Linked DNA regions of Caenorhabditis elegans. The protein of the gene in region 1 interacts with the protein of each later gene in a pairwise test. Each region holds a gene or a part of one and is shown in the gene's direction. Other genes may lie near its edges.

The links.
Region 2: the proteins of F19C7.8 (region 1) and feh-1 interact in a two-hybrid assay, tested with the Caenorhabditis elegans proteins (one large-scale study listed by BioGRID).

Annotation. Positions count from the first base shown.
Region 1 is NC_003282.8:4,634,795-4,639,762, reverse strand, and holds the start of F19C7.8 (SH3 domain-containing protein), read left to right. Parts: upstream 1-1,667; coding exon 1,668-1,971; intron 1,972-2,792; coding exon of another isoform or gene 2,793-2,929; intron 2,930-2,973; coding exon of another isoform or gene 2,974-3,183; intron 3,184-3,229; coding exon of another isoform or gene 3,230-3,434; exon of another isoform or gene 3,435-3,462; intron 3,463-3,801; coding exon of another isoform or gene 3,802-3,935; intron 3,936-3,980; coding exon of another isoform or gene 3,981-4,193; intron 4,194-4,239; coding exon of another isoform or gene 4,240-4,312; intron 4,313-4,968. Other genes in the region: R105.5 (Vitelline membrane outer layer protein 1), read right to left, coding at 2,793-2,929, 2,974-3,183, 3,230-3,434.
Region 2 is NC_003281.10:2,548,268-2,553,124, forward strand, and holds the start of feh-1 (Protein Fe65 homolog), read left to right. Parts: upstream 1-1,652; 5' UTR 1,653-1,664; coding exon 1,665-1,708; intron 1,709-1,802; coding exon 1,803-1,917; intron 1,918-4,857. UniProt on the Caenorhabditis elegans protein: Modulates pharyngeal pumping activity, at least in part by regulating expression of the acetylcholinesterase genes ace-1 and ace-2.

The DNA of each region.
Region 1 (4,968 bases):
AGGTAATTTATCTCCATATCCCCAAACAAAATTGAGCCATCAAGCGAAGAGGTGTAAAATTGTGCAATGCTCAGGGTATTGTGCAATTTATTCGAAATCTTTAGCAGAAGAAAACGAGAATAATGAGTTCTTGCGAGCCATTCGGATATTGGTCATCGCCGGGCAAGCCGGAGCAGCTGCTCTCGCCGCGTTCCGAAATTCCATCAGGATGACAACGTACTAAAAGAGCATTGTACGAAAAAAAACACGGAGAAAATTTGTGGCAGCACACACAAAAACACAACAGCCGCATAAATTTCTCTCCATTTTTTGTCTTCTTCGTTTCTTTCGACACACAGCTGATTTTACACAGAACATCAAAAAGTGAGGGTGGATAATGATGATATGGGCGGAGATGAAGATTTTGTAGTTTTGGGTAAAAAATAGAGGAAGAGAAGAAGATGAAGCTCAGTGTTTTTGGTTTTTTCATCTTTATCTCATCTTTTTTTGAAAATTAGTTGTCGGCAGAAAGCAAATGTACTAATTGAGTAGAGGATTTATGAGTTTTAAAAGTGAAAAAATATTAGGCTACATTTTCTTTTCCTAGAGGTTTGAAATAAGCCTACCACAAAAAGGCCTGCCTACCTTCAAGCCTATGCTTGGTACCTTGACGTTCCGCCTGGGCGCCTCTAATATGCCTTCCATTTGCCTCTGGACACTTATATCTTTTTACCTATATAGTTTTCGGTCGTTAGTGTATAACTCAAACTGTGCTACGTGTGTAGGCAGACGTAGCCAGCCTTGTAGGCAGGCAGGCTTTATGGTTTACATATAATCCCAACTTTAACAAAAATTAGTTATCTTTCTAAACATAAATTAAGCGAATTCGTGCTCTCATTCATGTATATTAAAAGCCCTTGGCACTCGTAGCTCAAAGCGTCATGCGTGTAGGCAGCCTTGTTGGCAAGCAGGCAGGCAGGCATCCATTTTTCTGCCTACACAAAATGCCTCCTATTGCACAAAAATGCCTGAAAAAGATCAACCGGTTCATCGTTCCCGTTCATGTAAGAGGTCTCAAATCGCGAAACTTTCCCTTCCAGTTTTTATCAGAAAAAATCTGAGCTTTGTTAGGCCCGAAACTCTTTGCAAAACTAAAAACTCAAATTCCATAAATCACAATTAAGCTGTTTCTCTGCTATTTTGTATCTGCTCAAAAGTCGGGATTTGTCATTCGAGAACTCGTGAGAACCTCGCCGCCCAATTAAATTTTTTGAGTATACTATGGTCTTGTGATCAGTTTTTTTGGACCAAGTCTAAAGTACATATATTTTTAATTTTATGCGGCGCGTGTGGTAGGCCTTTTCCAAACCTCTGGTGACTGAAAATTCAAAAAAAGAAACCGCAAAACCAGTAACTTGTAGTTTTAAAACTCTAACCTGGAACTTTGCGTCAAAAAACATATCAAAAACAATCCAGTAAAAGACTTTAAAAACCAGGACACATTTTGCACAGTGATTGACAGGGAAGTTGATTGTTTTTCAAAAATCGTTGTTTTTTTTCTAGAATATAAAAGTATATAAACCTTTAAATTTTGAACTCTCTCCAATCCATCAAATTTCCAAGTTCTCAAGTCAAGAAATACTCAATCAATCTCTCTTTGCAGGAAACATTGTGTGTGTGTGAGCAAAATGGAGTTTAAAGTATCATCAAGCCAACGGTGTTCATCTCCTCCTTGGTTCCTCCATCACCACCTGACCACCACTGCTGGAGGAGCCTCTCGTCCTCTTCCATTGCATCACCGATCGCACTCTGCTTCCACCCCCACTACCACTTCATCCATCACCGCATCACCGTCCTTATCTCAACTTCCTCCTCACCAGCCCTACCATCTTCATCAACAACAGCAACATCATCAACAGTTGCACAAAACCATGACAAGTGCACTTGAGAAATGTACATCTTCGCTGTCTGAAATACATAGATTATTAAGAGGTACGTTTTTATGCAAATGTTTGGAGTTATTGTGTTTGTGAGTGCTGTGGTTTTGACTTCTAAAAATGACTTCCAATTTTTTTTTTGAAATTTATTGTACCGTCAAACAGTAGTGAAAACTTGGTTATCATAATTTTGGAAGTCATATATTTTTTCTTACGACTTTTTCATACTTCAATTGCGCTGCGTTCAAAGTGTTGCTATTTGAACATTCTAGATTTGAACATTCTGAACATGCAGAAATTATAAAAGTTCTTTAAAAATTATAAATGTTTGGAGGATTCGGCAAATTACCAAATTTCGATTGAGTTTTGAAAACTCTTTTTTGAAATGTTTTATTATGCCCCACTTTTAAGGATACTATTCCCATGGATACTCGGAAATTTATGTAGTACTTGACAAAAAACTGAACTAAAACCTCCGAAGTTTTTTTTTTCAAAAATATTGATCGTGTTTCTTGATCTGTGTCATTTCAAGAGTGTAAAATTTCCTGCAAAATGTTATAGCAAAAGCCCAACGGTTCTTCAGATATGAGCTCAAATTGGAAATACATGATTGATCGGCAGCTTCGGCTTAAGTTATACAAAATTTTCCATGAAAAAACGAAACATACACCACCAAAATTCAAAATCAAATTAGATTTATGTTTTGAAAAATTTGCTGCTATGGCAATTTCTCTAATGCTCTCATAATTGTAATTAACAAAAAAAAACGTTTTTTTAACGTAAATAAATGAAAAAGATTTATTATACACGTGAACTTGAAATAAAGACGTAGTTCAATTAGTTGCATTTTTAAAATTTCATTCCACTGCTATTATTCTAGACTTTGCGGCATCCATAACTAGCGCTTTCGAGCCCTCGTCTTCTGGTAAATCTTGGGTTAAAACTGGCCAAGGCCGATCCAACATCACACCAGCTTTCCGGGAGGGTCCATTTACCATGAGTGTAGAGCTTGGCTACAAATTAAATTAAAAAACACACATGTTATATTCCACCATACCAAAGAGAAAAGATGGTTGTTCAGTTCTGTCTTCTGGGCGTCCGCACCTAGCACCAAAGTTGGTAATACCGGCGTTGTCAAATTTTTCGGAATCGATTTTTTCTGTGATTCCAATGATAACAGATCCTTTGGGACACCATTGAATCGATCTCCAGTATCCATATGGCGAATCATTGTAAATGACAATTTTGTTATCGATGCTTAGGGTATCTGAATTAGAAATTGAATTAGCTAGTTTACCAATTAGAATAGTTACTTCCGTCCGGTGGATTGCAGAAAAAAATCAGTTCAGTGACACCATGATCTAGGCTCAAAACGCCTCGTTTCGTTTCAAGTTTGAGTTGGAATCCGTTGATGACTGAGCCTTTAGGACATGCAATATAGTCCTCCCGCGTGGGTAAATTCCCATGGGCAGTAGTGTAGAACACGGTGAAGATGAGCAGTGCAATCAGCAGGTGCATAGTTGCAGCCGTTATTAATTGATTGAGTGAAATTAATTTCTTCTTCTCTTTTAATTTTTTTCGCTCCTTAAAAATTTTCAGGTTTTTGTTTGTTATTTTGACGATTCTACGCCCACATAGGAGAACAAAACTTTGAACACAACTAAACTGAAGTGACTAAACTCAATGGAAGTTCGAGAAAGCTGGCGTTTATGTTAACAATCTTTGTTCTTTGCGGCATTTCTATAACTGAAAAATTTGATAAATAGAGTTCTCTGTGTTGCTTAGATAAGAAGATGACAGATTAGAAATTTATTATACATGTAAATGCACAGTTCGAGGGAATGCCTTTTTAAAATTTCGTTCCAGAGGCAATACAAAAAGCAGTTCAGATTTTACGGCATCCATAACAAGCGCTTACGAGTCCTCGTCTTCTGGTAGATTTAGGGTTAAAGCTGGCCAAGACCGATCCAACATCACACCAGTTTTCCTGGGTCCATTTACCATGAGCATAGAAGAACTCTGCAAATTCAATCTCAGAACACACTAAATGTTATTTTATCACACCAGAGGCAAAAGATGGTTGAACAGTTCTGTCGTCTTGTGGACGTCCGCATTTAGCAGCCAAGTTGGTGATACCGGCGTTGTCAAGTTTTTCGAAATCAACTTTTTCTTGGATTGCAATAATAACAGATCCTTTGGGGCACCATGTAATCTGTCTCCAGTATCCATATGGCGAATTATTGTCTATTACAATAAAGTTATCGGGGCTTTGGTTGTCTAAATTGGAAATTTAATTACCTAGTTTACTAATTAGAATAGTTACTTCCGTCCGGTGGATTGCAGAAAAAGACGAGTTCAGTGACACCATGATCAGCCTCGAAAAGGCCTCGCAACGGTTAAAGTTTGAGTTGGAATCCGTTGATGACTAAGCCTTCAGGACATGCAACTAAGTCCTCCCGCGTTGGTACATTTCCATGGACAGTAGTGTAGAACACGGCGAGGGTGAGCAGAACACTCAGCAGGGGCATGTTTACAACAGACAATATTTGATTTGATTTATTTCAATTGATTAGAAAATCTTATATACTCACTACCAGAACGTGACCTTTCAATTAGAAAGTGTCAACGTTAATGATTAATTGATTGAAACTATTTTCAAAGACTCCTGTACTGTGAGACCTGTGAGAAATAGTTAAAACCTAATACCTCTAAAATGACCAAATATCAAAACAAAACTTAGACCTGTGAGTTCATTGTCTCAAGTTGTAGTATTCAGTCATATTACTCGAAATTAGAAAATTACAACCTTAAAAAACCTCCAAAACTTAGCTAGAGATTTGGTTGAATAAATTTTAAATAAATATTTTATAGAATTTCTTTGTCCAAGCTTTCTCAAATTTTTGGGAAAAAAACGAATAAAATAATAATTACATTTAAATCAATAATTTTTTAAACGAATATGATTGAGAAATCGTGTGGCCGCGAATTTTGAATTAAGGCCCTTTTATTGAATTTGAGCTGGTTGTTTCCCACTTAACTAAATTTTTCCGTT
Region 2 (4,857 bases), on another chromosome or scaffold:
TTTTTTTCCCAAAAAAAAAAGAAAAAGTTACAAATAGTTAAACCCTTAACAAACTTTACAACTAGTCATCATCAACACTCATCAACATTCCTATGTTAACCTTTTCCCTGACTGAAGAAAAAAAAATTCTTTTCCCTTAAAATTTCAACAAACACATCTTTCTCTATGCTTTTTCCATACAATTCTCATATTTGCCGACACGCCTGTTGGCATCGCTTGCGCAGCTCGCGGAGCAGCTTCAGGAGCAAACAGTCTCACACATTGGGAAGAGGAAAAGCAGACGAAGAAGAAGAAAAGAAGTCGAGATTTTAACATTTTTGTGTGTGTGTGTTTTTATAAGTGTCTCTATCTATTTTCCCACCATTCTTGAACCATGTGTCAATTTTTTTTAACGCAACATTTTAAGCTCATTTTTCGAACTTTTACAAGAAATGTATCTTATTTGAAAAAAAAAACATTTAAGTAGATAGACAGACCCCTATGAAAATTCATATCATTTTGAACTAGAAAAAATGTTGCTCCCGGGAGCAAATTTTTTTTAAGACCATTTTTTTCGATAAATTTTTTTTTCGCACTCTATATGTTTTTTCCAAGTCTAATTAATTTTTACAATTATATTTTCACCTCAATTTTGTTTCTTTTTTTTGAAAAAAAAATCGGAATTTTTTGAAATGCGAAAAATTTTCAAAAATTTTTTTTTGAAATTTTTTTTTCTGTAACTTTGATATTACCTGAATTTGCCATTTTAACTATTTTTAAAAATTTTTCAGTGCTATAACAGTGCTTTAAATTTACAGAGACTTTCACTTTTCCGAAAGTTTTAGAAAAAAAAACAATTTTTGACTGAAGATTTTTTTGAGAACTTCTGAATTTTTTTAAATTTCAGATCGGCTTTTTCGTGATAATATTTTTTCTAATATATTTTTTCAAATTTCAAAAACATTTATTGCTACGAATTAAAGTTGATTATATCATAACTTTTAAAATTGTTTTCACCTTTCTGCATTTATTTTAGTTATAAGTTTTTTTCCGTTAAAGATGTTAAAAAATTGTCAACTAACAAAATATTTACTTAATATTTTTGAACAATTTGTTAGTTTGACACTTTTTAATATCACTTATGGTTCACAAAATATGCACGTTTTTAAAAAAAGTGCAAAGGCCTGACTTTATATGTTAAAACATGCATAACTTTTTAACTATAAGTGATATCAAAAAGTTGTCAACTAACAATGTGTTTGAAAATATTTTTTAAACATTTTAATAGTTGACAACTTTTTGATATCTCACACATGAACAAAGTTATAAGCAATTGAAAGTTAGTGCAAAAGCCTGAAATCTGAACACGATCAAATCTGTGAAAAAGAGAGGGACAGGTGTTATAAAACACTGAACAACTCAAAAACTATTTGAAAAGGAAAATTTAAATTAATAATTCTAATTACAGCATTTTTTTTTAACTTTAAGAACAAAACAATTTTGATTTGAAAAAAAAAGAAAAAAACTTGGAACGTTCAGCCAAATTCCGAGCGTCATTGCATAAAAATTTAGCAAATATTTATTGAAAAATCCAAAATTTAAGTTTTTAAACAATATTTTGCTCTACTTTTCTTGTTTTTTTTTCCAAAAACTCTTCCAAAAAAAAAAGCAAATTTTCAGCCGCAATGAGGGAAGGAACTCCGCGCGTCAGAATTGAAGTGAATAAGGGGTAAGTGAGTGCTCTTGACACCTCCCAGCCTCCATTTAATCCGTCCAGTTTCTTTTCTTTTTTGCACAGTTTTTGCTCATTCCTTTTATTGCAGCAGCAATCGACCCAGTCAATTTGTTTCCGAGTCAGAAGAGCAACGGCTGCAGCGAGTACAGAGTCGAGATTCTGATACGGCTACTATGAATTTTGTAACCGATGATCGAATGATGGTTAGTTTGAATTTTTTGATTTTTGCCTGCCTGCCTGCCTGCCTGCCTGACTACCTGCCTGATAGGTCGCCTTGCAGGCAGGCCGGTAGGCAGGTTCTCAGGGCCCGAATGCTGGCGTTTATTCTACCTATTGAATTTGAGTTTATTTAACTTAAAAAGAGAAATGATATTAATAAATTAGAAATTCTTTTTGAAATTTGAAGAACAAAAGTGTACTTTGCTAGTAGGTCGCCTTGTAGGCAGGTTTCTACGAATACCTGCATATTTTTTTCAAGCCTACAAGCATGCCTACGTGCCTGCCTTTTAGGAAAAAGCATGAGGCAGGCGTAGGCCGTGTTGAAGGCATGCTTACTGTACCTTCCGATTCAAAAATATACCGGAAACCCAGTTTTCTGATTGCTTATCACATTATCATAATAATAATAATCCCATTTTCAAACAACGTGCTCAAAAATTTCCTGTTTCCTCCTGTCGAAAAAAGAAAAAAAACAATAAAACACAATTTTGTAGGAGCACCCTTTTCTCAAGAGTGGACATTGTGTTGAAATTGGATATCCGTTTTTCTTTTTTTCAATAAGTGCATATTCTTGTTCCCAACACTGTTCGTGACTCTTTTTTCTTCAAATTTTTGCATAAAAACATTTTTCGGATCGTTGTTCCGGAGTTCTTAGAGATCTTTCTTTTTTCGGCTCAGTAGACTTTGAAGCCCCGTATCTCTGAAAGTTTAAGTGCTAGAAAAAAGTTACAAACTCTAAAAATATTGAAAAAATGTGATAAATATTTTTGTGGTTGACAAATTTTTGATAACTTTAAACAGAGCTGAGATATGAGCCCTTAAAGTTAAACTTAAATATTTCCTCTGATACATTTCCCAATATTTATATCTCTACGGGACACCAATATTTGCTCAACTGCTCAAAATACAAAACACATTTTTTTGGCAAAAGAGAGTGCATAGTAAGCCAAAACAGAGCACAAAAAGATCATAAAACTTTTTTTTGGAATTTTGGCATAACTCAACTTGGACAAGGCAAAATGTAAAATGACCGCGAAAAAAGTTGATGGCCTAGTTTTTTGAGTTTCCACGGCCACGTAGCAAAGGGCCACACTTGACTGAGTGGTCACAAAAATTTCGTTTTTTAATTGGGCGGAATGGGCGGAGTGTCGTTGTTTGTGCGACCTCTGACAAACCCCAATAAAAAATTTTTTAAAGAAAACTTTTTCTTCCCGCCGAGCACATCAGAGTACTCGAAAAGATCCAGTTATATGTACGTTCTAGTACTACTTAGTAAACGAAAACTTTCTCAACTCTTTCTCTCAGAGAGAGAGATCTTGGGAAAGAAGAGATTTATGTGCACAAAGAGCATTTTGGTGGGGGCATCCACTTCACTTTTGCCCTCCCCATATCCTCGGGGCCCCCCATTTCTACCGCATTCATTTATTCCACTATTTGGCGGCTCAGGGCTGCTGGCATATACAAAAAGATTTCATCTCACCAGCCTCTCACCTCTTTTTTTTTTTGGAAGAAGACGTTGTCGGGGTCTTACACGAAAATCAGTCCCCATGAGAATTTACCCCCGGCGCCTCTTTGTTAAGACGGCTTCCATATTGGTATTAGTGTGTGGCCGTGAGATATTGATGGCTGGGAAACTCCTCACGACCGTGGCCTAGTTTGCTTTTTCTAGACCACGGAACCTTTTTTCCGAATTTTTTAGATTTTTCAGAAATTTTAAGGCTCGTTAACAAATTTCTCTAAAGGTTTTTTCCGAAATTTTCATTTATTTTTCTACATTTTTCGATTTTTTTCTAAAAATGTTTAATGTTTTTCCCGAAAACTTCCGATTTTTTTTGGAAAATTTTTTAGATTTTTTAACGAACTTTATTTTCGAAATTTTTAATGTTTCTTCTTGAAAAATTGATTTTTCTTCCACACCGCCTAATTGCAATATTAAGGGTATTAGTGACGTCATTATTTTTCTAAGCCAACTGTGACGTCGTTGTGTCGAAGGGGTTTCTAGGCCATCTGTGACGTCACTGATTTTTCAAAATAGTGCCTCACTAGTTTCTAGGCCACGAGTGGCGTAATTTCTCTTCCACATTGTCTTAGCAAACCTTCTAGGCCACGTGTGACGGCATTTCTTCCCCACTCATGACCGTTAAATTTTCTATGCCACCTATGACGTCATTTCTCTTCCACCAAATGATTTTTTGTGTTCCCTCCAAAGCAAAACCTCATAAAAAGTGGTTAGTCACCAAAAAAGAAAAGCGCAGGAAAACTTTCGACCGCTAGCCAATAGAAGAAACCAATTTCATTCGCCTTTTTTTTTGCTCGTTTCATTCGATCTTCATCTCTCTCTTTTTCTTTCCTCGCCTAACTTTGTTTTTTTTCTTCCATTTTCTTGCAAATTGAATTTACATGTATGTATGTGTACGAGATTATCGCCTAATATATGTTTTTCTCTCCTCTGAAGCTCCTCTCTTTTGTCCGCTTCTTCGTAATTTGCTAATCCTTTGGCTGGAAATAGAACAGCTGAAAATAGGATTTTTCCGAAAAAATTCGAATTTTTGTTCAAAAAACTTATGTTATTTCTTCTAAACGTCTAAAAATCCGATCTTTTTAACAAAAAATAGCCCAAAACCCCAAAAAACCGGAAAACAACGACGCTCCGATATTCCGCTTAACCACCACCACGTGTTGTTTAGAATTTCGATAGTTATCGTAATTTTCTGCAAAATGAATCAATATTTTTGTTTGGAAAATGTGATAAAACAATTTTAAATCACAAAATTAAATTTTCGCATAATTAAACTATGAAAACCGTGGGAAATCTAAACAAGACTAAACAACACGCGATGGGGGCGGAGCGGAATAGCGGAGTGTCGTTGTTTTAGTGAATTTAGGGTTTAAAATGCTGGAACCTACTTGAATACAAGATGTTT